Linked DNA regions of Mus musculus: all the other regions are reported to be linked to region 1. Evidence: microRNA targets listed by miRTarBase, many of them from high-throughput screens and not tested one by one. Region 1 holds a microRNA gene; each other region holds the end of a gene's coding sequence.
Evidence for each region. The annotated mature microRNA mmu-miR-29a-3p reads UAGCACCAUCUGAAAUCGGUUA and lies in region 1 at 3,035-3,056, opposite strand. An mRNA with a match to its seed (bases 2 to 7 or 8) in the 3' UTR can be bound and repressed. Matches are read on the target gene's strand: a 7mer-m8 pairs with bases 2 to 8, a 7mer-A1 pairs with bases 2 to 7 and ends in A, and an 8mer does both.

Region 1 (7,120 bases):
CACCTGAAGACAACGGCAGGGGAGAGAAAACTCAAACACAGGTAAGAAATCAACAGCCTGAAACAGCTGTGAATCCTCACCCCAGGGAAGAATGGCATTCAAGACCTACCTTTCAGATACTGAAGTCCATTAGCAGACATGCTCACTCACTGTGATGTTTAGAAGACATGGTGGGAGTTCTTCCAGAAAGCAGAACAAAGAGACAGAAAGGAGACAGGGAGCGGTAAGGCAAGCCATGCGGTGAGTGGCAAAGGTGAAGGCCAGAGGATTAAGAAGGCAGGGACTTTGTTGTCCACAATGACAGCAATGTCAAATGCCCTGCCCAGGGAGTGAAGACAGCTCTCCCAAGGCCCAGGACCAACCACTGAAGAACACAGACTACAGGGTTAACCAAGTCTCCTACTTCCAGAGCAAAGGGCCTATTGATTAGCTCTGCATTCTACTTCAATCCTGCATACTAGAGAATGAAAGTCTGAAGGATTTTCTTTTTCTAACCAGACATTCCATACCAAAAATTGTACCCTGCCCCCCGGCCCCCCCAAAAAAGTTCCACCAGTCTTCCCCAGATGACTACCGAAGGATGTGTGTGCTTCTTTAACACACACACACACAGAACGAACACATATACAGACTCTCAGACAGGAGCTGGCTGACAGACTCTCAGACAGGAGCTGGCTGACAGACTCTCAGACAGGAGCTGGCTGAGAGGATTAAAGAGATGAGGACCTGGAATGTATTTAGCCCAGGAAGGAAGCAAGGGAACCAGAGAGCTGAGAAAGGCACTCACCCAGACCAGTGTGGGAGGAAGCTGGGCTCCGAGAAACCAAAGCCTGTCCCAGCACGCTGGGAGGGAAGCTGAAAGCTCCACAGTCGCTATGAGGAGTGCATGGGAAAGTTCAGGGAAACAACGTTTAAAATGATAGTTACTCATCTCAGAATTTAATAAGGTTTCTGAAGGAATGTGAATCTGTATGGGTGGGCTACAAAAAAATCCCTCTCTATATTACCAATATTCCCCATTACCAACACTAGTTCTTCTATGTGCATGTGTGTACTCATGTGCACCTCAGGTTCTTCATGACAGCTGTCTACCTGGCCTTTTGCGGCCGGGTTGTTCACTAGTCCTTGACTTCACCTGGGCTGTAATTGGATTGTGAGGGTCAATGGAACGGCTGCTTTAAGGGGGAATGAGGGTTGTTAAAGTTAAATCCTCACATGGGGGAGGGAGCAGGGAAGAAAGTCAGAATGAAAGAAGAGCAGCGCAACGCTTTAAATGTAGGCAGTCAGAAGACACAGATAAAAGTTGAGGATACAGCTAATGGGAAAATATAGGTGCGGCAGTGGACAGCTACTTATTGCTATAGGGCTCAGTGCTAATCCAGTGCAGTCTGTGGATATATAACACATGAATCATATTAGAAGATTAAACTTAAAAACAAAACAGAACAGGACAATTTAAATGCCAAACTGGTAAGTATATAAGCAAGATGTGGCATGCCCACACAGTGAAATATTATTTAGTCATGAAAAGGGAACCGAGTTTGGATGAACGCACCGTGAGAGAACCATGAAAACGTCCCATTAAGTGAACTAAGCTGGATGGAGAATTTCACAGAGGGTGTGATTCTGTGAAATGTTCAGAACATGTAAATCTACAGAGAACAGATTTCACTCAGAGACAGGAAGTACATAATGAGTAAGGAATGCCTGGATTCAGGTTTTCTTTCGAGGTGAGGAGAACTAGACCTTGCTGATCTGTACAACTCCATGAAAGCTTTGCTCAAGAGCCTTTGTGTTATATACTCTAAAATGGTTCAAACGCTCCACTTCGGGTTTTCTGTAGCTGTGTCACTTTGTTCCTATTCTGTATCTGTGGTATACTCCCTCTTCATTTCAGTTCAACCCAAGCTGTTCAGTCTCAGCAGCAAACGCATTCTTCTGCTTTACGAGGCCGTGATGCTGACTTGGACAATGCGTAATGCGGGAGTAACTGAGGCTACACGCGATCCCATTCGGCTCAACAGGAACGAGCTATGAACGAAGGTCGGGATGCAGCAGGGTTAGGAATTACTTACACACGCAGCGCTTCAGCAATACTAACAGCCCGCTTGCCTTTTCATTCTGAAACACAAGCACAGAAAACTTGGATTTGGGGTTCTGGGCAGCGAGGTCTACTGCAGGAGTTCCGTTTTGTTTACCAAGGAAAAACTGTACAATCTATCTCGCCTAACCTTTTAGATCTAGCCAAAGCTTAGTCATTTGTATGATTCATCTGATTTTCCTTATTTATAAGTCTAGTTAAAGTTCAACCAGGAGGAAATGTAGCCTTAAGCACCACTTGGAAAGGCTACAAATACCACAGGCTAGGTGTGTCCAACCTGTGGCCCATGCCACCCCACCCCACCCCCTTCCCCTCAGGATAGCTATGAATGCTGTCCAACACATCACAAGTGTACTTAAAACCCACGAAATTATCTTTTGCAATCCCATTGTATTCTCTAATGTTAACTTTGTTGATGACAACATCGCATTGCAATGTAAATGGTTGGACACATCTACCAGACATGAGTTTGTCACACTTATTTTTATGCCTATTACTTGAGTCCCAGACACAGGTCCAGTTATCTGAACCATCTGTTACATCTAACTTATAGCTCTCCTGGTCTGGACAGCTAACCATGCAATGGCCAGTGGTCAGGCAGGCTAGGTGACTATCCCTATGTGAGCTGTTAGAACCTTATAGAAGTAAATATCCCCTGCTCCTCTCACATTGACTGGTCAGTCATTGGTTTGGCCCTTTATCCTCTAGTTACCGTCAAATCTGCAACCCATACACACTTTCTAAAACACACCCACCATCACTATGTGAATAGTTAACCATGCTGTTGCTGGGGCACGTGTTAATGAAAGTCAAGTTTAAGATAGGAAGAAAATGTACCTTAGCATGTTTTGGTATTTGTTTCTTAATTCTTACCTGTGGCTCCAACGTCAGCAATAACGTAGTCAGCTGAACGGTGCTCTTCCCCAATCATTATAACCGATTTCAGATGGTGCTAGAAAATTCTATTGACTCTGAACACCAAAAGAAATCAGTCATCCTCTAAGGGGTCACAAGAGGTCATGTGCACTGGGAAGGCCCAGGCCTTCAATCTGTCGTATATGTAGGTCTTCATCCGAGCATGGTGGAGTCCACTTCCAGAGAAGGCTTATTACATGAACAAGTATGCAATTCTAACGGTGGTTGACTAATCAGCTATCCATAACACAGAGGTAAGCAGGGTGGGCGAGGGCAGGCTCTGGTAGCCTGTTTTAGACACTGGACACTTACTTCAGGGCTGTACACTCATTTCTTTGTGCGGTCGGCAGCGAAGTAGTTCTCCACCAAGAACACTGATTTCAAATGGTGCTAGACAATCACTATTTAAATCTAAACCACCATATGAAACCAGCTTCCTGAAGAAGCTTTGTCGTCTGTTTTTGTGGCCTTCCTACGGAGAGGGAAGGTGAAGTCCGTGCAATAGTTCCTAATTTCAGGCGATCCTATGCTGACCTCATCTAGCAGGTGGGGGTGGGGGTGTGACATGTCGGTCACTCATGGCATTCTTCCCTCCAAATGGTAACTGAGCCCTCACCCGAGAGCAGACGTGGGACAGTGAGCACGAGGCTTACACATTCACGGTGCAGCGTGGCAGAGCTCAGCACACTTTTGATAAGCGTGACACTTTTTACTTCCAGATCGATCTGTTAGAGTCGACAAGTGAGCACAATTTGGGATCCTCTCAAAGGCAAAGCAACACACTGATGCTAATGAGACCCTGCCCCCTTTTGCCAGACTGCAGTAGTGAGTTCAGGTCTTTTGCTAACTCAATTCTCCTCCAGAAGTGAAGCTTTGAATCTTCGGTATCTGACAGATTATCACTATCATCAGTACTGCTGCTACTGCTACTACTATTACAGTTTTAAACAGGGTCTCACTATGTAGCCCTGGCTGTCCTCGTAACTCAGAGAGGCCCTGCTTCTGCTTCCTGAGTGCTGAGACTTTCTGGCTTCTTTCTTGTCTCCCTTCCATTAGCTCTTGACATGTGGTCTTGCTAGGCCAGGCCGTTTGCCGTCACTCTTTTGAATGTGTCAGGGACTCCAATAACTACACATCCACGGCCTTAAAAAAAAAAAAAACTATTTAGAAACATTTCAGATATTAGAATGTTAATGTCCTTTTTAAGAATACCTTTTTAAAAAGTTGTATGTTAAATTTCTTTTTAAAATATTTTTTTCAAATGTACTGACATTAAAATGATTATTAACATTTTCTCCCCCTTTATCCCTTCCTGCTCATTCTCAAATCCATGGCCTCTTTTTAATTGCTGTTACACACACACATTCTCCTAAGTACGTGACTACAGCCGGCTTAGTCCATGTAATTTCAGGGCTCACTACATGGCATTAACTTTCAATGATAATCAAACAAATTCCTGTATTTGTGCCTTCTGAATTAACAACTGAGCGTTTTTTGCTTTAGATATATAATCTACATTATTACCTATCCCTGGCATATGTGGTTCTTACTGAATTGTTTGAAAGCAAAGAGAAGATCAGCCAGGTGCTCTGCTCTCAGCTGCTGGGGCACAGCACTGTTTAAGAAATACTGAGATAAAAAATTAAAAAAAAAAAAGGAGAACATTTTTCTTTATAATTACAGTAAGCTGTCCTACCCGAGGAAACAAACAATTCCCTGGGACTGTGAAGTAGCCAGTGTGCATGGGACTTCACCTACTTTCTCAAAAGACAGTCTTATAGCTTTGCTTTTTACACTCAGATCTCATCAAGGCTGCGGGACCCCTCCTTGGTCCAGCACCACGAGGTGCCAGGCTACAGACTGGGAATCTATTTCAAAAAATAATAAAACATACCTAAATATTTTTTAAATGAAAGAAATAAACCTTTGACTAGTTTAAGAAAACCTTTCTTTCTCAAAATAAATAAATAAATAAAATAAAATAAAATAAAATAAAAACAGCACCAAACCGAAAGAAAATGTTCACTAAAGGTAGGCCTGAAAGGCCCTACGTCTAGAATATGTAAACCATTGGGGGCTGGAGAATGAGCTCGGTCATTAAGAGCACTTTTCTGAGTTCAGTTCCCAGCACACAGGCTGGCTTACAACTCCAGCCGAAGGGGATGTGATGCCCTCTTTGGCTTCGGTGGGCACCCATACACATGTGCACACATATGATAAAAACATGCATGCATGAACAAGCACACATTCATGCATACATGTACACACAGAGCTCTTCAGTCTGAATCCCAGTTTTCATGTAATTTCAGCAAGTCCCAGCTCCCTAGGAACAGGCTCACCATGAGAATAGTCTTGAAGTTAACAAAGAAACTCTCTATTATTGGCTGGCAGAGGGGTGGACAAGCCAGGGCCCTCTTCCCTCAGGACATGCATACAAGTGCGGACTCTGGGGCCTTCCATGGCCCTCAGCTACAAGCACAGCCCTCCCAAGAGGAACAGCTTCACTCACAAGTGTGCCCGTGCTTCCCTTCTCCCTTTAATGGACACACAACCTCATTACCCTTTAGTCTGGGGCTAGGGCATAAAAGAACTATTGTTTCTGTAGGCTGGGTTACTGTTATTTTTTAACTAGCAACAACTCTGCAGTATTACAACTCCTGAAAGGACAAAAATAAGAAACCTTACAATACACAGATCACACGCTGGGCTGGCAGACTCTTCACCCTATGAGTAGAAACAGTTATCTTCCAAGGATAGACCCCTAAGCAGCTCTCAGCTCACCAGCCATGAAAATGTGGGCCTGCTTCACAACCCAGCCTGCATGCTTCATGCTGCTCTTCAACGCACTGCCCTTCCTGTGCACTTCTGTCAAATCTGATAGGGAAATCGGGGCCTGGTCTGAGTCAGTAACCCACAGCAGGGCTCTGTGTGGAAAGGCCCTGCAGTAGATGCGTATTGCTCCCAGTGACGTGAGAAGCCAGTCTGTTCTTGTGTTGAGCAAACTGGATTAAGATAACTTCCCTCGGGGCTTGGAGATTTCACAAGAACTATCACATCCTGAACCAGCACCCCTTGAGGAACACAGCTTCAAAACGTTAGGGCCACCAGGACTCGGCAGGCCTAACCGGTGTGTCTGGGCCAGGCCACACGTGTCACTGCAGTAGCTGTGCTCACACATCTGGAAGCCGTACCCAGAAGAGCCGAGCTTTGTAAGGGTTAAATCAGGTAGTACATGAGATGATCGAACGAGCAATACGGAACTTTCCTTTGGCATTTTAGTAGAGGGATGCAGCTAAGAGGTCCAGCTCACAAGTGAGAGGCATACACGGATGTGTCAAAAAAAGATACCTTTGCCTTGTGCCTCCCATCTCCGCACACTTGAATGAGCACCTGCAAATATATTCTGATTACTTCTCCATTCAAGGGCCTCCACGCGGGACCTGTGCTGTCGCTGGTGAGCACAGGTTTCTGTAGGTCTTCCCTGGTTGTGAACTGGCAGCTGGGTGTGTAAGAGTGGCTATCAAACTCCGATGGTCACTTAAAAACTCACTGGAGACTCACCGTGGACAAAATACAGCAAGACCTCTTTAAGGGTGATTTGCAAGCATGCACCTCAACTTCTACAGGGCCACAAAGACAACCTGCTACAAGCATTTTCCAGGGACAGACACGCTGCAGAGAGCCTTCGTGAGAGGAGCAGTATGTGGTATTTCGGTGACACACGAACCTCAGGGTGTATCCCACGGACGTGGGGTTCTCTACTCAGACACTTTCAAAAGGTCCCTTCTCTCTGCTGTCCAGTGAGAGACATTTATTACTTCCTTCCGCAGGCACTGCTGTGGATTGGCTACCTGCATTTGGCGACACTGGGGTGGTTATGACTAAGGAGCACGGCCCTTGGCCTTCCACTTGGCACAGCAGCGAGGTGTACTGTGCAAGCTGGTGTAGGAGCTGCAGCATGCTATAAACCTGTAGATCCAACCAGAGCAAGAATGAAGGTGTCTTGCACAGGGTAGGAGAAGGTCTATTTTCAAGGGGAATTGGTAAGCCCTAAGGCTTTAGCAATGCAGGCTGCAGAAGGCCCACAGAGGGCGGACATTACAC
Region 2 (7,120 bases), not on the chromosome of region 1:
TGTATGCTGGGTACAGGGGCTCAGACAGCCCACAGCTGCCCTGTAGGGCAGATGAAGACATAATCTAAGGAGCCCAGGGAGGGCCTCCCTTTCTAGGTTTGCATTCCCCAGGATTCTGGGGGGGTGGGGGGGGATGGCTTGAGGGTCCGGCATTCATGAGTAGCATGGCCTCAATTCATCTTCCTGTGGGTCAGGGCTTGGGGACTCGGGTGGGGGTGAGGCAAATGGATGAGGCTCATTCTGGAAACCATCCCTTGGTGGTGCTGGAGTAATATTGGTCTCCCTTTCTGGGCAGTGGGTGGTGTGCATGCAGCCTGTTCTTGCTGTGGTACTTTATAGACCTCAGATTGGCCTGACGCCAGCAGTCAGGTCTCTCACAGCATATCTCCTGTCCTGGTTTCAGGCCTCTCCTCTCACACAGGGGTGTGGCTGTGATGGAAACCCCTGGGATCATTCCCCCATCTGACCTGCTTGGGCCATATTGCGGAACCCTGCCATTTGGGGTAAATACAACTCCTAGGCATCTCGTCTCAGCCTTGCTCTGTCCAGTGTTCCACTTCCAACTCCCACACAGTCGGACATGGTTGGACTCTTGTCCTAGCATCCACGGAGAGAAGACTCACACTCACTCACAACTGCTACCCCGGCAGGGTGTGGCTGTCTTGGGTTCCAGGTAACCACTCACTTTGATGCTTGGAATGAGTGTCCTCATCTAGAACCTTAGGACAGCTCACGGTACCTGTCCCACAGTCTTATTGGCCATTTTGCATTCTTGTCTCAAAATTACCTATCTTTTGGTCATTGTGGTCGTATGTCTTAGCAGTAGTGACAGCAACCCCACCTCCATCACCAACCTTGGGTTTATTTCGCTCAGGCTACACATGATGAAGGGAACTGATTAGTCAGTCAAGGTTCTTTGGCCTCGCTGCTGCTCCTGCCTGGCCAGTCTAGGGGAGCTGCTACTTAGGGGCCAGGCCGTGTGGCAGTGAGAGTGAATGGGAGGGGGGATCAAGGGGCAGAAGAATGCCTTTTACATTATCTGGACTGCTGTCTTGAGTGATCTGAGGTTGTTAATAACGGGCAGGAAGTGGAGCTTTAGTAGAACACACGTTAGGAGCCAGCCCTCTCCTAAGTGGACAGTTTAGCAAGAGCTTTCAGCAGTCCTAACAGTTCTTGGAACTACTGAAACAAATCTTCCAGCTTCATGACTTCATGCTCCCCAGTGAGGCTTTGATGGGGCTTGGTCCTGACTGAGCGAGGTTTAACATAGGCTGTTATGGTGAATCGTTCTGAACATTCTCCAAGTTCCTTCTTATCCAATTGGAGGTAAAGGCTTCCAAGAATTCATAGCTGGCATGCATTTGGCTCTTAATCAAAATGAAAAAAAAAAAAAGTGCAGACCAGGAAGTATCTGAAATTTATTAGGACAAGCTCTCAAGTCTACCAAGGGGATGCCGTCTCCCAGGTTGCTTTGCTGTAGGCACCATGAGAGTCAGGAAAGGTCTGCCAACCCAAGGAGTGTATGAGACGGCACCCCTTTCGAGCCTTCAGAGAAGGCTGACACACGGCCTTAGGAGACCTGAAGCCAGGGACATCCACGCCCTGCCTGTAACTTATAACAGTACAAACTACAGCTCAGAAATTACAGCTAAGTTTTTTCTGACCGGCTGGTGTGTGTCTGATGGCAGACCATGCTCCCCTGGAAACCAAACCCTCCGAGCGCACCTGGACCGGTGGGAGTCGGGATTCCTTGTTAGTGGTGGGGACTGGCAGCTTTCATATCTGCTCTGAGTGCTTAGCTGGGAAAAGTCTGAGAGGCTGCTGGAGTTCAATCCAAGTGACGGGGCCCAATGATTCCCCAGGGCATGGGAGGTCAGTGCCCAGTGTCCTGGGCGCGCGGGCACCCACAATCCCCCCCCCCCCCAAGCTGGGGGAAAGAACACAAGGAGGTAGCAGAGATGGGAGGGCAATTAACGCAGTCTTTATTTACACCACGAGAGCGACAAGTGTGTGATGTGGTACAAACACTGGACCCGGGAGGTGGAAAGAGGTGACCGCCAGAGGACACCGCCGGTCAGTGAACCCACCACACAAAACAAAAACAAGAATGAGAAAACCAAACATGACTCCCAACCCCGCCAAGAGGAGAAAGCGCCGCGGAGGGGAGGTCCAGACAATCAAAGAGAAAACAGGCTGTTACAGAGTGAAGGCGGTCGTGGCTGTGGAGCACACACAGCTTCATGTCACAGCGCTCCGGTGGCGGCTTTGACCACACTTCTGTAGTGAGCTCTTGCTGAATGAGGTCAGCCTCCTGCGCATATATGGAAACAGCATGTTTAACATTCTTACAGATTGGGAAATGGCATCTCCTCAGTGGAGTGCACAACCCTGAACAAGCCTGTCTGCATTCTTCTCTTCCATAGGAGACTCTGATCAACGTGAGGCCGGTGAGGCCACCAAGGCCGGGTGCAGAGCACGCCCGGATCCTTGAGAGGGAGAAATAGTTTCCTCCAGTGCCAAGTGTCGCTGAGACCTAGGGCTCACAAAGGCCTGGACTGCCCAACTCGGAAACCCAGCCCCCGCCCGTGTCTTCCTGAAGGAAGGAACCCATCAGCACAGTTGTGCTGAGACGGGGACTCACCAGAACCTCAGGTTCTCGACCAGAGGCTGGTGACAGCAGGCAGGGTGCACCTGGCCCTGTGTGGGGAGAGAAAAGGAGAAAACCAACAAAACAAAAGAAAATGCCCCTAGCCAGCTTGCCAGACAGGCAGTAGGGTGTGAATGTGGGGCTTGCACATGGATACAATCGACTCTCTATCGGTATGTCAAAGGTGCTAGGTAAACTTTTCTTAATGACAAGTGTGTAAGTAGTCCTTTTTTCTTACAATAAAAAGTACAGTTTCTTAAGAATAAGTTCAATAAGACTCAAACTCCCCCCTCTTCTCCTTCAAGGTTTTGTTTTACAGAAAAAATTCTGCATCTGCAAACATCATGAGAGGGGAAAGAAAGGCATTGTTTCTCCTTCCCCAAAGCTGCCGAGTTTGGCGTGCAAAATCTGTATACAATATAAAGACATGCCGGCGTACGTCCATGCAACCTCCAGGTGTAGGAAACTTAAAAAAATATATTTATATATTTATATCTATATATTTATATATGTATCAATGCCCATAAAATACATGGGCCCAAAGTCTACAAAAAGAAGGATGGAATGAGCACGTGGCTGTGACCAGTGAAGAAGGAATGTTCTGAGGAAAGAAACACAACCAAGTCTATCACCAGTGCTGTGGAGACCACTGCAGGATGGTCCTTCCTCTTGGGGACAGATTCGAAAGTAAAGAAAAACTGAAACACTTTGATAAAGCGGCCCTCAAGCCAGAGCCCTGGGATGTCCCAGTGGGTAGTGGCCTTGGAACGGCCGCCTGCTGGTGGAGCGTGGGCTCTCAGGGTGCAGGTGGAAGACCCAAGGTGAGTGGACACCGGCATCCTGAGGACACGGTGCTTTGGGCTTCCCTTAAAGGGATGTAAAGTGCTTGCTCCCAGCTCCCTTCCCAGCACCCACCAAGGCCTCTGCAAAAGAAGGGAGAAGGTGGAAGGTTCAAGGTCCAGGCAGGGGAGTGCTGTGGTCCTGCCCTGGAGGTCAAGGCTGACCTTCTGCCCTCTGCCCTGGGTGATGACTGTGGGGAAGGGCCACATGTGTCTTCAAAGGGAAGAAAAGGCTATATGGTAGGTAATGCTTTCAGCTCACAGGGAAGCTGGAGTGAGTTGGCTCCCTGGCCAGGCCCCTGCATCAAAGGGTGACTGAATAGGACCAAAGTGAGTCCCTCTCACAGTACCCTGGCCACTGAGTGGCCTGTTACCCCTCACCTGAAAAAGTAAGATGAGGTGCACCTCCCACGAGTCGTGGCTGGCACAAGAGGGCAGGTGGCAGGGTTTGCAGTAAATGGGCCAAGGCGGCCAGAAGAGCAGCTAGCTGGCCTCTGTCGCCATGCAGTGACAAGCAAGGGAGAGGTTGCATGGGCTCCCTCAAGTCTGCTCCTTCTCCAAGGGCCAGAGCAGCCACAGGGAGGGCAAAGTCAGTGACGTCCTAAGACCTCTCCACCCTCTGTCTTAGCTCAGCACTCACAGCAGCCCAGCCATCAAAAGTCCAAGAATGTGTGCTCAGCCTGTCTGTCAAAAGCTTGACCCAGTTCCCATCTACCCTGTAAATGCCACCAAATTCAGAAGCTTAGCTTGATGTCCCTTCTGAGTATCTCAACTTCCTCTCACCAGTCTGAACTCCACATACTTTGGAAAGAAACTGGCGGCTTTAAGTGCTAGAAAAGAAGTTAGCAGTTAAAAAGTTAGTTGTCATAAGAAAAAAAAAAAAAAAGAGCAAAGACAAAGACTGGCTGTCCCTCAGGACCCTGTGTATTCCTGCAGGACAAGGACAAAGGCCTTGGTTCAGCGGCCACAGGCTACAAACCCAGGGCTATGGCTCTAGCCAGAGTCCAGGTTATGAGGCCGCAATGGAAATTCCTGAACAGGTGCAGGGCCAGAGCCTCAAAGGTCTTTGGGAAACTCGAGCTGGGGTTCTATCCTGATGGAGTGGTTACAAGTCCACATTCACTAATGCCAACCACCCTCACGGCTCACGAGGCCTGCCCGCCCTGTAATACTAGCGGTGTTGCAGGGCAGAAGCCCCTGGCTGTGCTGCTCCCGGGTGAGCTGGACAAGACCAGGGTGCCACGCAGACCTGCTGCCCAATCTCGAGAGGTTTGCTCTAAAAAAACCAAGCATGATAGCAGCGCTCTTGCTCAAAGCAGAACCCTGCTTGCTGTACAAAAAGAAACAAAATCAAACCATAAAAATAACCTTCAGAGCTAAAAAAAATGTACAAGTAAGAATTTAGAAAGAAAAAGTTTCAGACATTACCACCTTCAGAAAACTGCTGAATGGTAAGGGAAAAATGTAAAATACACAAAATAATGTTTTCTTCAGGATCTTTTTTGTGAAAAATTCATACAAAAATCAACAGCAAGTTTATATCTTTTGCTATAAAAACTCATCAGGTACATATGTGCATGGAGTCTTGGCGAGGGCAGAGGTTCTGTTAGAAAATAATTAAAATTAAAGTACAAACTGGTAGGGAAGTTGCCCAGGGGTGAACATGCTGGCAATCTGGAAGCTGGCCAATCTGGAGCTCAAAAACCCTTGGGCTTCAATCCAGACCCCAGCCCTCAGCACCTCAGAGCTAACACACGTCTTTCACCTGCCAGGACCTCTGCGGTCTGGATTTATTATATATATTTATATATACTTTGTCTATAAATGCATTATAAATATTTTATCAAGATCTCATAAGAATCAAGTTTCTTAGCTTGGAATACAGTGGAATATATATTATACATATATATATTTATTTATACCTAAAATTTAAGCAATACTTCATGCTACCTGCTTTTAATGAAAAGCATTCCGATCGTAACACTGCAGTGTGCCTACGACATGCTTCACAACCGAATGGAGATGCTCAACTGCTAAGTGACGGATGAGGAAAGAAGACTTTGGATCCGTTTAAAATGTGTTAGACTTTAAAACTGCTGGCGGCGTTCGCTGCTTTTTGGAACTACCTCATCTTCCTTAAATGGCGATCAAACCAAGCAAGGCTGGCTGTACTTCGGCCCTCGGGGACAGTGGCTGGTGCCCACTCTTGTAATGCCAGGCTCAGCCAGCCACAGGACACTGTCACACCAATTCTCAGTGGTGTTTTGTTTTTGTTTGTTTTTTTCTTAAGGCATTGTTCCTCAGACTTCAGAAAACCCAGCCACAAAAACTTCCATCAGAGCAATAAAAAAGGCACAAACTCGCATCTTCCGGTGGCGTCGAGAAGCTCCAGCTGATTCCCAGGCTCACATTTCTGTTCTGTCCAGTTTTTTTTTTTTTTTTTTTTTTTTTCGTTTAAACTTTCTTCCAACTCTGTCCCTCACTAAGCTGTGAACCCCCACAGCACCCCACTAAGGTTCACAAGGCAGGCCAGAGCCATAGAAAATGGTTTTGTTTTCGTTTAAAAAAAAAAAAAAGCTACAAGATGAGTTGAGTGGTTTACACGGAGACTGTGGGATTGTGGGTAAGAATCAAATGTTAAGCACCAGTTTTAATCAAGTTTGTTCTGTATTATTAGATCTTTGATTTTCATTTTCCTCATGTCAACTTGATTCAGCAACTCTGCCCAAGTTGCCACAAGCTTCTTCCTTCGAGGCTTCCCAGGGGGAGGGGGAGCCACCAGCGTGTGCTTGGCTTCCACATGTCTGTGTGCCCGTGTGTTGCGCGCTGTCCTGTGTTCCATGTGATCTGCCACACCCGGTGTTCCGTGTGCGTCTCCAGACCTGTGGTCCAGGGCGGCAGAAAGGCTTCCCGTTGCTGCTGCACGCCTGCTGTCCCTTTGTACTCAAGAGAGCACCAAGGCAGGACGCAGGAGTGATACGGGTAAGTTTCTTGGCTGAGCTTCAAGACAGACAAACAAAGGAGAGAACAGCAGCTTCGGGCTACAGTGGTGGTTCCTCCTCCATGGGCTCCTCCTCAGATCTGTAGAGGAGAAAGGGGGTCGGGCAGGGTGCACAGTGGGTGAGGGAGGCCCTGTGCAATCAGGTTCCCTTTCTCACAGAGTTGTCAAAATCCCTGCTCCACCAAAGTGCAAGCTCTTTCCTGATAGACAGGATTGGTTTGTCGAGTCAGTGGGCATGCCACCATCTACCCTGTCCCTAAAGGGCAAGCCTGACACAAAGAAGACTCTGTCAGGTCCTCATGCACAGGTGTACTCAGCAGGCCTTTGGGACGGAATGGACAGGACTCACCTCTTCTCAGCAGGTTTGACGCCTACAGACAGCGAGGCCATGGCGGTGACTGTCTCAGCTTCTTCCTTCTCACACTTTTGCGCCTCAATCAGAGAGTGCCCCACCGTGGAGGACAGACGCTGCAGGCAGCGCCAGTACTTGCCTGGGGGAGAGGGAAACACTCAGTGACTCCCCACTTCTGCAGGTTAATGGGAGACTCACTTGTGTCTGAAAAGCGCCTTTCTGAAGAGTGCTGGCTGGCACTGCCCTCACAGGCCCTTGTGGTGTAATTTCTGCATTACAGG
Region 3 (7,120 bases), not on the chromosome of region 1:
AAAGGAGATAAGTCTTTGAAAAGAAAACAAACCTATGAAGCAAGCTTTAAAAAAAAAAATCACTGCGTCTGAGTCACCTGGTAGGCTTGTTAGAATGGTGTGCTGGGAAAAGCCCCAGGAATTCTAATCCCAGGGGTCTGGGAGGTGACAGGAATTTGCATGTCTAATGGTTTCCAGGCATGCCAGGCTGCTGGTTCAGGGACCACACTTTGAGACCTACTGAGAGACTCTGCTCCAGTACAACCTGGCTTCCTGCCATCTATTTATATTTTTGAGAATACATCTGTGGCTTAGGCAAAGTGCCTACTAGCTTTGCCTTTTCAGTTTAACATACTGCATGAGCAGAAAACTGTGTTTGGCTTGAGACTTGAGTGGCTTTTTCTTTAGCATGAGAATACTTAGTGGGATTTAACCCATTTCCATGTGTCTTTCTAGGACGGGTCTGAGATGGAAGCCAACGTGAGCCTCGCCAGCTGGGATGTGGAGAAGCCGGCTAGCTTTGCTTTCAATATTTCCCATGTCAATAACAAGGTCCGAATCCTAGAGCTCCTGCCGGCCCTCACAACTCTGATGAACCACAACAGATACTTGATTGAATCTGGAAATGAAGATGGCTTCTTTAAAATCAACCAGAAAGAAGGGGTCAGCTACCTCCACTTCACGAAGAAGAAGCCGGTGGCTGGGACCTACTCCTTACAAATCAGCAGCACCCCACTTTATAAAAAGAAAGAACTTAACCAGTTAGAAGACAGATATGACAAAGACTACCTCAGTGGTGAACTGGGCGATAACCTGAAGATGAAAATTCAGATCTTGCTGCATTAATTCACCATCCAGAGACCAAATAATTAAATGAAAAAGCAACCTTAGGCAGGTAGAATTATATTTTCCCCAAGCCAGAACCTTCACATCATGGTACAATTGTTCACCGAGTCGATCTGTATAAATGAGCACCACTCTTGAATGGCAACACCCAGGTACAGTGATGATCCTAGTTCAACCAACCACTTTCTCAGGCTTCTCGTGAGTAGCTCAGCTACCCTGTCATGCGTATTGATTCCTGAAAACTGGGACATGAATATCCGCTGAGGTTGGCCATTCACGCCGATGGGCTATCTTCCCAGCCTCCGCACAGGAACGCGCTTCCATCTGATGGACTGTTCCGCGTTGGTCTTCAGATCTTGAAACTTTGCTTCTCCGAGTGCAAGCAGTAGGTTTCTGTTGTCTGTTTGGTGCTAGTAAATTCTCAAAATAGATTTATTGATGCACTGTAATAAAGACACGAGTTAGGAACCAAATTGCCAAGTACTCAGTTCAAATACTTCATTTCAATCAACCAAAGTTAGTTCAGTAGCTTATCTCACTTATGAGTATGGTGCAGTACATGTAAATTAAGTGTGTGTACACTGTAACGTGCTATTTTTATCATTGAAACATTTATAAACTACAATAATAAAGCCCTTAATGTGAGGGTTTGTAATGGTGCTTATTAAGACCAAAGACTTGTTAAACATCTACACCAAATGGTAGTGGATTCTCTGAGACTGGCCCACTTGTGCACTGAGGTTGGGGAGGACAAGGAAGCAGCCTCAGCCACCAGAGGATCACCACCGCATCCTCCATCACACAGCATGTGCAATACGCCAAAATCACTCTCAGTCATTCCTGTCAACAAGGGGTTAATGTCATGATGTCACAATAAAGTGATCCTCCCCTCCCTCCCCATTTTAGTTTACACCTTGGTTTTATGTTCTTGTGTGGATTAAGGCTGGAGGGGCCTTTCTGGAGGTGAAATAAAGTCTCCTGGGTTTAAAGTATCCCTGCTTTGTTATCTGTGGCTTCTGTGTATGTGTGATGTAAGCACCAGGAGAAGAAATCACATCTTCAGTTAGTCCCTTCACGGTGGTACCGATTGCTGATGTTTGTTATCTGACTTTCCTAGGAAAACACTTAGATTACAGCATCATTTCTAAAATGTGACCTAGTTAGTCCTGGGGCTTTTAAACTCCCAGATTTAAGAACTCCCAGATATAAAATCCAGTCATTCTCTTCGAGCTGAACTTCATGCTCCTTCCCCTCACGTACACAGCATTGGCAAGGTGTTCCATCCTTTCCCCTGAACATCTGTTGTTGGTCAGTGCTAGACTAATTACAGAGAGCTGATTGAATTGAATCCAACTGAATGTTGCATCTCTTGGTTTTCAAATGTCCTAACTTGAAAAATGGTGGTTTATTTTAAATGCAACATTCAATATTTAACTGTTAAGCTCATTTAGTTAATAGAAGAAAAAAAAAAAAAAAAAAAAAAAAACAACTCCCCCAGGCCAGCAAAACTGTGGTAGTGAAAATAAGATGAATTAATTTTGTTACATGAAGGGAGGTCGAGAGTGGAATTTTCCAAGACATGGGAAAGTCCTCTCAAAGCCATGGGAGCTGTATGCTAGAGCCAGTGGAGTAGGCTATGAGCGATGCTTTCCCAGAAGACACAACTAGTGTCAAGTGCTGTAAGGCTCAGTTTAACACATACCTCCTTAATGAGAAGGCTACCTATGGTGAGGATGGGCTTCCTTGCAGTCTGCTGAGTTCAGCTAGGTTAGACAGGGCACCGGTATCCATTTAATGCCTGTGGATACCCTAAAGAGTCTCTTGTTTTTGTTTGTTGGTTGGTTTGTCTGGGTTTTGATTTCTGGGTTTGTTTTTTAATCTCTGGTTTTGCCAGCCAGAAGAATGTTGGCCACAGTTGTTGCTCAGCAGAGATGAGGCAAGGATGCGAGGAATTGGTGTCTTAAGCTGGAGGTTGAAATACACCCCAGAGTCTCCTTCAATGCTGCACCTCTCACCTAGTGATGGAAGTGCTAGGGAAGGATTGACCACATCTGGCAAACTGTGGATTTCATAAGGAAACCGCCTTTGATAATATAACCAGAGCTATAGTTCATTCAATAATAGACTGTCTTTATGACAAACAACAGAAGAAAATGGAGTTGGCACATGATAGACCACTTTGATATTTCTAATAGTCTAAATCTGGATTTTATTTATCCCAGAGCCAGCAGTGTTGAACAGCATATTTTCCATGTTTCTGACGGTAACACAACGTTTGCCTCATTGTTCCACTGTAAATATTCTCTTGTGAAACCCCTTCCTCTCCCGGGCTTTCGACCTGCACCTTTCAATTGTCCTATACCTTTCCATTTTACTTGTGATAGTCAAAGAGTTTGCGCTTTAAACCATGCAGAAGCTTGAAAATACCCCATCTCCCCCACAGCCCATTTCATTTGCCAATAATTATTCTGTAAGTAGCATTCAAGTGAACTCAGCTGCCCTTGTGAAGTGTTTTAAACTTGCATAAACAGCTACATTTTTGTGCAACAAATTGTACTTTACTCAGCCAAAATTGCTTTGGATGCTGCCATTACAAATACTGTTTCACTTCAGAAATCATGCTTGTAAATGAGATGGGCCAAAAAAAAAAAAAAAGGATAATTGGGTTGATAATATAAATATGTCCATACCTATAAACAGCTGGGATTTTCAAATAACAGGTCAGCTTTGTCCACAACCATGGACTTTATTCGAACTTCAACTGTAGTTTTTAGAGACATATTAGAAACACGGTTATTCACTGGCTTAAGGACATTGTTTTTAAAGGGTAGGAGATCAATACCACTAGAAAGATTGACTTTCAGACACACATCCTCATAGGCATGTGTTTGGGACATTTGACACCTCAGGACCTGGCAACACTGCCAAATCTGTTATTTCAACTAACTGCTAATGAATCCAATTTCTTTTTCTTTAAAAAAAAAAAAAAAAGGCATGCCATCCTTTTAGAGAGTGAGCTGTTTGCACCCTCAACCCTTGCACATGCATGGAAGGGCCACTCGATTGTTGGCAAGTGGAAGGTGTATCCTCTCTGCCAGTTGAATCCAGTGCTAGCAGGTAAGTTGTGATTCATGCTGGCTCATTAGCCATTATTATTTTTGACCCCTGTGACTATTCATATTTCAAAAAAGTATTCAGCACCCTGGATTCTTCTTTGACCCCTGGGATTGGTTACAGTGTCAGCTAGAAGTCACCAAGGCTTCTCAGTATTTCTCCAATCCAGACAAGAACTCGGGTTCAAGGTTAAGTAGCGCAGAGGTGGGGCATTTGGCAGGGCGTCCTCACTCAGCACTTCCTGCCTGACTTCCATCCCCACCTGACCTAGTCCTTGCAGCTGTGCTGGGAGTTGCAGAGCTATGAAGAGATCCGGTTCCTCTTCACCCTAAAATACTCGCTTGGGGAGAATTAAGTTGAACATAAACGGTGAAACTTTTGGGGCCTGGAAATGGAGATATTTGAAAACATCCACCCCCCCCAGACACTGACAGAAAGGGGTCACAGACTGGTGGAGTTGTGTCTACATGGTGAGCTGAACCCTGGAAAAGAAAGCCAAAGCTGTCAGAAAGGATTAATGGGATCTTAATTTGTCAGAACTGGGTGTTTTCCTAACCACACAAACCCAGCATTGAGGGGCTTTTCTATACCTTTCTGTTTTCCACCACATCGAGACCATCCTTTTTGGATGTGTTCTGTGCCTCTCTCGGGTGGTCCCAAGATCAAGCCTCAGGGCTGCAGACACCAACAGGGGACAGACCTCTTTCTGGCCTGCTGCTTCCTGTGTTCTTGTGGGCTGACTGCTCCAGGGTCATTTGCAGGCATCATGAATTCCTAGATGAAGCCAAAGTCTGTGCTACAACATCCCAGGAAACAATGTCTCCAGGTTCCATCTGCTGTCCACCCACACAGACACACAGACATACAGACCTCACACCTACTGGAAGAAACAGGAAGCCCCGCCCACCATTCTCAATGCTCTCCATTGATCATTGACAAGACTTTCTCCCCAGAGACCATGATTTTTTGACCTACAAAGAAAGTACACTGAGAGTTATTTGACCCACTGCGAGGGCTGGGAGCGACTCCTTTGTGTTTCTGAGTCTGGTAACTAGTGGTAACTGCATCACCCTCTTTGTATTATCTGACATATTTATTACCCCCTATACATATTTTTTTCCTTAATTTAAGCCCTGTAATCTATGCTTCTCTGATTCCCATCTCTGCTTGGATATTTACTGGTACACAAGTCTGAGGGTCTTGCCAAAGGTCTCTGACCGCACAGAGGTTGAGATGAGACTCAAACACCCTTCTTTATCTTCAACAGTGTAGCACGCACCCAATCACTGCTGGAGACAAAGGGTGAATGACTAACGCAAGGTATGTTGGTGCAATGTAGAAATCTGTCAAGGTAGAAATTACACATAACATTTGAGACCTAAAGAGTCTGTGTTATAAATCTCAGTTTCACAGCCCTCGGAGACAACATGCAAGAGGCCATAGCACATTCACCTTGCACATCGATAATCACCAAAATCACAGACCCGTTCTTCCCTATCTCCCCCACATAATACTGTGGTGATCTGCACAGAAAGCTGTGAGTTTGTTTGTAAAATTGGATCCTGTCAGTTCCTGCTAAAATTATAACCAAAATGTCCTTTAGAATATTATTGCCTCTGTAAGCATAGGACGAAATTGATATATAAGACTAATATTGAACATTGATATTGAAACACTAAGACATGGCCTTAATCTAGGGGTTTATAGATAGCAATTGAAAAGTGTTTTAAATATTTCCACATCATTGATCTGTAGCAGAAACTAAATAGATAGTCACCAACTCTGCTTCTTTCTTCAGAACCCACCGGAAGACCAGAGGTCAACAGAAGGTTTGGGGCTATGTGCCAAGACACTTACCAAGAGGATCTTAGAGTAAATGACATATATTCTTTCCATGTCTGTTTGAAAACAATGAATAAAAACATGCAGTCCTTCCCACAAGAAACCAAGTTCATTGCCTTAAGCCTCTGAAAGTCTGGGAATTTGATACAAATTTTATCTGGAAACATTTTGATACATATTGTTGATTATTCTAATAAAGGCATACACACATCTCTACCTTTTTACCAGGAAGAATCCACACACTAATGGATTTCTACCTTGGCTGCACATAAGAACCACCATGGCTCTTTAAAAGGGATCTCTGGATCTAGGTTGTATCCCTAACCCACTAATTCAGAGTCTGGGTCTGTAGTCCAGCCATGACCAGTCTTAGGAGTTTTCTAGGTGACTTAAGTGTGCAGCCCTGACTGAAAACCTACTCTGAAGACTTAGAGCCTTAATGAGAATCTGGCAGTCAAGGGAATACTGTTCTGGGTAACTCATATGCCCCCCTTTTCCACTATCACTGTAATCTATGGGACTTCACGTTATCACATAGTAAAATGTGACATCTCCTGTCCTGTAACTTCACTGGACTTATGTGGCACCAGCTGACAACTCGCAGGCAGCAGTGAGTTTTTGTAGACATTGCTGGACTCTAACCAACTCCAAGCTTCCTCTCATACTTGCCACTGTGAGAAAGTCTTATCTCCATACTGGTTTATTTGCATGAAGCCAACATCTTCAACATGAAGTCTGTCCATAGCAAAAATATCAAAGAAACCTTCTAAAATATGAACCTTAGAAATACCATGCAGTTTCTTCAAAGTGGGCAGTTCTCTAGAGAGAAAGCTAATGCTTTCTTTCTCAGCCACCAGCTTCCACTTAGAACGTACAAGTTGCACGATGGGACACAGGCCAGGTTACCACCCATCCTGGCCCCAGTGGTTCCATCTTGAAATGTATAAATTACAGAATGGTTTGGCAATGCATTCTATTATAAAATGTAAACTTTAATATGCCTCCCAGGAAGTTTTCTGATTCAGCAAACCACATATAAAAATACAAAGCAAATCAAGAAGTACAGAAAAGGAGGCTGCCATTGCCAACTGAGAGCCGGGAAAGGAACGTTTGTGTATGCATTGAGGTAGAACACTCAATCATGCTGCTATAGATGACTAAAACGACACAATACAGAAATACCCATCCCAAGCACCTTTAAATGCTATTACATGCATGAAATAAATCCCCAAAGAGAGTTCTATTTTCAATTTTGTGTGTGTCCTTAACCAGCCGGTGATAAAGAGTAAATGTTTAATGAGTGCCTGCTTATAGGCACCAAATCCTGGAGCATTCACAA
Region 4 (7,120 bases), not on the chromosome of region 1:
TTGAGGAGGAAGAGGGGACTCAGAGAACTCTATTTCCCCGTCTCTAGATCACTCAGCTGAAAATCGACAACAACCCCTTTGCCAAAGGATTCCGGGAGAACTTTGAGTCGTAAGTGTTCTGAGTTCAAATCCCCTTTGGTCTTTCTGAGATGGGACTGTGGTTCAGTGCTCAACATGCCCTGTCTCTGCTTCAGGGGTCTGGGGACCATCATATTAGAAGCCTAATATAGCCTTGATCTCTCTTTCTCTCTCTCTGTCTCTCTCTGTCTCTCTCTGTCTCTGTCTCTCTGTATTTATTTTATTTATACGAGTACACAGTAGCTGTCTTCAGACACACCAGAAGAGGGCATTGGATCTCATTACAGACGGCTGTGAGCCACCATGTGGTTGTTGGGAATTGAACTCAGGACCTCTGGAAGAGCAAGCAGCCAGTGCTCTTAACTGCTGAGCCATCTCTCTAGCCCCCTCATTCATTGTTTTTATTTTTATTTATTTTTTAGCATGTACGCATCTGTTGATACGAGTGTCCCCTCGCCACCTGGACCCAACTGTCAACTGCTTGGGGGAGACCCCTTCTCACCTCTTCTATCCAACCAGTATCCTGTTCCCAGCCGTTTCTACCCCGACCTTCCAGGCCAGCCCAAGGATATGATCTCACAGCCTTACTGGCTGGGGACACCTCGGGAACACAGTTATGAAGCGGAGTTCCGAGCTGTGAGCATGAAGCCCACACTCCTACCCTCTGCCCCGGGGCCCACTGTGCCCTACTACCGGGGCCAAGACGTCCTGGCGCCTGGAGCTGGTTGGCCCGTGGCCCCTCAATACCCGCCCAAGATGAGCCCAGCTGGCTGGTTCCGGCCCATGCGAACTCTGCCCATGGACCCGGGCCTGGGATCCTCAGAGGAACAGGGCTCCTCCCCCTCGCTGTGGCCTGAGGTCACCTCCCTCCAGCCGGAGCCCAGCGACTCAGGACTAGGCGAAGGAGACACTAAGAGGAGGAGGATATCCCCCTATCCTTCCAGTGGCGACAGCTCCTCTCCCGCTGGGGCCCCTTCTCCTTTTGATAAGGAAACCGAAGGCCAGTTTTATAATTATTTTCCCAACTGAGAAAATGCCGCTGAATTGGAAGGTGCCCACTAACTTAGAAAACAGACGCGGGGCTGAGAGCCCCGAGCTCTTCCCCATCCCTTCCCTGTATAGTGATTGGTTGGAGAGGAAGCGGGGCAAGAAGGATTCTGGGGTTTACTTCTTGTTTCCTGGCCCACAAGGAAATACGACAGGAGTGTCCCCTGCCCCTTTCTCTGCCCGAACTACAGTCACGAACCTGGTGCTGCTTCTGACCCCATGGTTCCATGGAGAACGGAGAATGGACTCCAGAGAGTTTTGGACCCAGAGGGACTTCATGGCTTTCTGCGAGGTGGAGGGGTCGGGGTGGGGAGTCCAGGAGAGCTGCTCTCTTCCCCTGTCCAGTCAGTAACTTTCAACTGTTGGTCTGACACCTGTGTTAATCTCTGACCTGAAAGTGAAGATACACGCATTTTTACAACAGCCAGCCAAACAGAGAAGACTCAGGTGACTGCGGGCGGACTGGGCCACCTGCGAGGAGACAAGAGAGGGTGGGTGCAGAGGAAGGGTTTGAAGGGTGCACATTTCACCAGGCGAGGTCACTTTGAACCGGTGTGTACACACACGGGTGTCTCTTTTTTATTTCTTCGGGAGGGGGGAGGCTATTTATTGTAGAGAGTGGTGTCTGGATGTATTTCTTCTGTTTTGCATCACTTTCTGGAAATAAACATGGACCTGGTAAACACGCCCTCCTTCTGTGGCTGGTCGGTAGGAGGTGTGTGTGTGTGGATCAAAGTTTGCTGATCTAGCAAAGTTGTCCTGTGGGCTCTTGATTTTGGGGGGTAACTGCCAGGAACCTAAAGTGACCCCACTTAGGGATAAACTCAGAGTATGTCTTGTCCTCAGCACTCCAGCTGATGGTTCATGCCACCACATGTGACCAAAGGTGTATTGTGACCAAAGAGCCCCTCAGCCTATGTTGCCTGCTCAGAACCCTGGAGGGAGGCAGTGTGGGAGCAAGGTTAGGACCAGGCTGGGTCGGGTGGAGTTTAGGAAAGCCAGGACTCTTGATTTATCTTTGCATCACTCTCCATTTTTTAGGAGTTTGTTCAAGTGTTAAAGGCATAAGTAGAAATTATACCATGTGATGTTGCCACTCTTTTGTAGGTCACGATCAGGCATACACTAGCAATTCCACATGAGTCACCTTAGTACACACTCGGGCAGGATTAGCGCTTGATGAAGTCCTCAGTGTGGGAGCTCTCCTCTCTCTTTTCCCCCCACCCCTCTTATTTAGTTTTCATTCATAACCATAAACTTAACTCTGAAATCCAGCTAGACTTGGAGGGGAAGAAGGGAAATATGGGACCCCAGGCACTTCAGTGAGAGCAGAGATTACAGGGTGTTGCGAGCAGATGACGTGGGGGTGCTTTCCTGAGCTACAGAAGGAATGGTCTGGTGGGTAAGATGCTCGAAAGTCAAAAGAATTAGAGTTGTCCATGGTTGGAAGTGGGGATCTTATTTTCCTCCTGGTTTTGCCATTCCTGGACCCCCAAACACTCCATGGCTTCCACGATGTTCATGCCTTCTCTCCCCTTCCCCTCAGTCTTGGCAATGCAGGTGAAAAACCAGTGGGAAGCATTAATGTTTGGTCCAGCATTTGCATGGACAAGATGCCAATGACCAGGGCGCTTCAGGATGAAGTTCTCATGCTCCAACTTCTCCCTGTAGATGGACCTGCCGCCAGTGCCACGGTGGTGTGTGACATCACCACCTTGGCACATGAATCCTAGAATTACTGTGTGAGAGTAGGAACCCTTACACCCAAATCCTATCTCTCCAGACAGAGCTCAGAGCACGGAAGTTCTCTGCTGCCTTTGGAACTGTGTCTACAAACAGCTTAAAGATTATGTTGTAACCCAGGCTGGCTTCCAATTCACGGTGATCCTCCCGTCTCATCCTCCCAAGAGCTAGGATTACAGACACAAACCACCATGCCCAGCTTTCTAGCTCTCTGTTTCTGAGAGAGAGAGAGAGAGAGAGAGAGAGAGAGAGAGAGAGAGAGAGAGAGAGAGAATTTGAGTCAGGGGTAAATGGCTAGCTGCATGCACAGACTGACCACCCAAGCTTGATGCCTTGAATTCATGCAACAGCTGAATCTGGTAGCACACATCTGCCATCCCAGAGCTCCTAAGAGATGGGAGGCAGAGACAGGAGGGTGTCTTGGCAGCTTACCAGATGACTGGCACAGTAGGACAGTAGGAAAACAGTGGGGAAGAGAACAGTTTTAACTTGGCAAGAAGAGAACCAACCTCAAAAGATTGTTCTGATTTCCAGGTTGGCCTTACAACATAGACCAGGCTGGCCTCAAACTTACAGAGATCCACCTGCCTCTGCTTCCTGAGAGCTGGGATCAAAGATGTGCCCCACCACACCCAGCTGTGTATGTGTATATTTGTGTGGGTGCCATGGAAACCAGAAGTGGGTATCAGATTCCCTGAAGCTGGAGTCAGATGTGGTTTTGAGCCTCCAGATCAGTGATGGTTTGGTGGGAACCAAACTCAGGCCCTCTGTGACATCATCAGATGCTCTCAACTGATGAGCCACTGCTCCACACCCTAAAATTAAAAAAAAAACAAAACAATTCAAGCCAGTTGAGGTGGCAAGTGCCTGCAAACTCAGCACTCGGGTGACTGAGACAGGAAGGCAGACAGTTGGAGACCAACCCAGGCTGCACAGTGAGACCCTATAGTGAGGAAAAGAATAAGGACAACTGCAAATGATATCAAATTTTGCTACACTTGAATAACTGACATTACCATTCAATGGGTTAGACAAACAGAAATGGTTTATAAAATTGTGACCCTACAGAAATCATGTTTTGTCTTAATGAAAATGGTTGTATTTTAATTTGTAGATTAATAATACAAATAAGCAAAACACACACACACACACACACACACACACACACACACACGTACACACACACACAAACCTCTCAGAACCCAGCTGAAATAAGAGAATTGTGGGTTGGTGATAAAAGTTTCCTCACTAGCAGAACTATTCTTTGCACAGACACCCCTGAAATGAAGAAAAGAAAAAAAAATAGGGCTGGAGAGATGGCTCAGCGGTTAAGAGCACCGACTGCTCTTCCAAAGGTCCTGAGTTCAAATCCCAGCAACCACATGGTGGCTCACAACCATCCATGACAAAATCTGATGCTCTCTTCTGGAGTGTCTGAAGACAGCTACAGTATACTTACATATAATAAATAAATAAATAAATATTTTAAAAAAAAAGAAAAGAAAAAAAATAGTCTTTGAAAGGAACGCTGTAAGGTTAAGAAAGGTTTTTTGAGCTAGAGTTATAGATAGTTGTGAGCCACTATGTGGATGCTGGGAATTGAACCTGGGCCCTCTGCAGGAGCAACCAGTGCTCTTAACCACTAAGCCATCTTTCCAGTGCATTAAATTCTTTTGTATTCATTTACTTGCTCATTTTTATACGGATTAGTGTTTTGCCTGCATCTATGGCTGTACACTTGGGTAGAGTGCCTGATGCCCACAGAGGTCAGAAGAGGGTGTCAGATGCCCTGAGACTGGAATTTCAGAGGGTTGTGAGCCACCATGTGGGTGTTGGGAATTGAACCTAGGACTCTCCAGAAGAGCAACCAGTGCTTTAACCCACTGACCTATCTAGCTCCACACCACAAACTCCTAAGGCATTTCTCCACTATGTTTTAGTCGATACCATCTCTCTTTGGAATTATGATGCTATTTTGATTCATGATCATCCACTTTAAATTTAGGTGTTTCTTTCATCTTCTGTGTTCTGAATATTGAATGGCACATGTTGGTTTGAAGTCCTGTGGCAGGCTGGGAGTGGGTATGTGCATGTGGGTGGATGTTACTGAGGCTCAAACCCAGGGCCTCAGGTGTGCTAGGCAGGCACTCCACCAGAGAGCTACATTTCCAGTCTCATCGATGTTAAACCAGGGGTTCTCAACCTGTGGGTCTCGACCCCCCTTCCAAAGCACTGATGATTACATTGCAATTCAAAGTTATAGTCATGAAGCAACAAGATGATTTTGTGTGGGGGGGGCAGTTCTCACCACAGCATGAGGAATTCTACTAAAGAGTTGCAGCATTAGGAAGGTGGAGAATCAGGGCTCTGGATTCTCTTTCACATTGAAGTCTTAAATACTGGGTGATCCTTATCAACTCACATTTAATAGCAAGGCTCTGGTAGTCCCTTTAAGAGCACTTGGGTGTATAGGAGAAGTGGCTATCTCTCACGGGCTTCCCATAGGGTGATCCAGGAGGGTGACCCTGCAGAGAAGCTGGCAGTGGGGTGCTGGATCTGACCTTGATTAGCTTATGAAGCCTGAATGTATTGAATGCGGTGGCACCTTTAATCCCAGAGGCAGTTGGCTCTCTGTGAGTTCAAGACCAGCCTGGTCTACATAAGTGAGTTTCAGGACAGCTAGGGCTATATATTAGAGAAACCCTGTCTTAAAGAACAACAACAACAAAAGACCCTCAGGCCACACTCGCATGCAATCTGTTCCTTAAGACAAAGAACTAACAGGTGCCAGCCATACCTGTTAAGAGTCCTTAACTCTGAGGGAAAAGCCAGCCCAGCTTCACCCTCCCTCCCTTTCTCTCTTTCTCTCTCTCTCTCTCTCTTTCTCTCTCTCTCTCCTCTCTCTCTCTCTCTCTCTCTTTCTCTCTCTCTCTCCTCTCTCTCTCTCTCTCTCTCTCTCTCTCTCTCTCTCTCTCTCTCTCTGGGACAGAGTTGATGAGAAATACTGGACTGTGGTCTTACAGTTCCACCTTATAGTCCTATCTAGTGCCTTTTCTGTGCCCCTTGACAGGTAGGCAAGGTTAGACCATGTAATATGAAGCTTGCCCACTGAAAACCTGTAAGTGTCAGAAACTGCTCTCTTCATCTGCATTTGAAGGAATACCTCTCCTCTTTCCACCTTTAAGGATCCATTATGGCTGTGATAGTGTAACTGATAGTCTGTGAGCTCAAGGGTCTGAGTGAGCCTTCATGTCCCTTCATGCCCCATCATACTAGACATGGTGAGTATCTCTCCTAATGAGGCCACTGTCACTTCTCAGGGCCCCATGTCATGAAGCTGTTGTGAAGGGTGACCTCATCTCGGCTCCTTTCTATGAATCTGTCCATTCTCTCTTAAGTTGAAACAGAACAAGTATAGCTTTCCCTCACGGCATCCGGTGGCATCAGGTTGGTAGCTTGACATCGCCCATAGTGGGAATATTTACACTATGGGAATAGATCCGTGCTGCAGTAAGGCACAGCCCCTCCCAAAGAGCTTGTTTCCTAACGCAAACTTGAGAGTTGGCATCCCCTGCAATATGAGTGCACGGAGAGACCCCTCCTGAGAGGATCCATTCTCCACAGGAAAGCCCCCAGCAGCTGACAGCGCCCTGTGAGTGGGGCAGGAGAATGGAAAAAATGGAAGGTCACTTTTTTCACCCCCAATTTCTATGTGTTTATGGTGTGTGTGTGCATGCATGCACACGTGTGTATGTGAGTGTGTGCACGTGCATGTGCTATGGCATGTGCACTGAGGTCAGGGGACATCCTTGGGTATCAGCCCTCCCCTCCCACCTTGTTTGAGACTCTATTATTTTTCTACCGTGTGTATAAATTGCTGGCTTGTGAGCTTTTAGGGATTCTCCTGTCTTCATCTATCATCTCCTGGGAGCACAGGGATTACAGGTGTGTGAACTGCGTGCCAAGCTTCTCCATGAGTGCCGGGGACATAAACAAAGGTGTATCACCTTGTATGACAAGGGCTCTTACTCACTGAGCCATCTCTCTTGACCCTCCATGACAAGTGTGACTTTGATTTTCTTTTTTCCATTTTGCCAAACCGCTCTTACTACCTTTAGGCTCCCAAGTCCTGCCTTTCTCCTCCTCTCCAGAGAAGGACTCTCTGCTTCTAGGTGGGGATGCTGGTGAGACGGCTCTGGGCGCTCAGCGTGAGAAGCAGACATGAGCATCTTGTCATGTCTGAATTCAGACT

Region 2: miRTarBase lists Hdac4 as a target of mmu-miR-29a-3p. Seed matches in the 3' UTR shown: 7mer-m8 at 6,438-6,444 and 7mer-m8 at 6,127-6,133.
Region 3: the mRNA of Fbn1 is a reported target of mmu-miR-29a-3p. Seed matches in the 3' UTR shown: 8mer at 1,231-1,238 and 7mer-m8 at 1,481-1,487.
Region 4: miRTarBase lists Tbx21 as a target of mmu-miR-29a-3p. Seed matches in the 3' UTR shown: 7mer-m8 at 1,326-1,332.

Annotation. Positions count from the first base shown.
Region 1 is chr6:31,059,639-31,066,758 of GRCm38, forward strand. Mir29a (microRNA 29a) reads right to left here and starts at 3,109; the gene lies at 3,022-3,109. It overlaps Mir29b-1 (microRNA 29b-1), which reads right to left and starts at 3,455; the gene lies at 3,385-3,455.
Region 2 is chr1:91,926,820-91,933,939 of GRCm38, forward strand. Hdac4 (histone deacetylase 4) reads right to left here. Exons shown (of 27, transcript NM_207225.2): 26 at 6,837-6,978; 27 at 1,960-6,567. The coding sequence ends at 6,528. Among named protein-coding and RNA genes, the nearest start is that of Gm46242, 51 kb to the left of the region's middle.
Region 3 is chr2:125,295,291-125,302,410 of GRCm38, reverse strand. Fbn1 (fibrillin 1) reads left to right here. Exons shown (of 66, transcript NM_007993.2): 66 at 436-1,817. The coding sequence ends at 825. Among named protein-coding and RNA genes, the nearest start is that of Dut, 51 kb to the right of the region's middle.
Region 4 is chr11:97,092,759-97,099,878 of GRCm38, reverse strand. Tbx21 (T-box 21) reads left to right here. Exons shown (of 6, transcript NM_019507.2): 5 at 48-109; 6 at 501-1,872. The coding sequence ends at 1,107. Among named protein-coding and RNA genes, the nearest start is that of Tbx21, 19 kb to the left of the region's middle.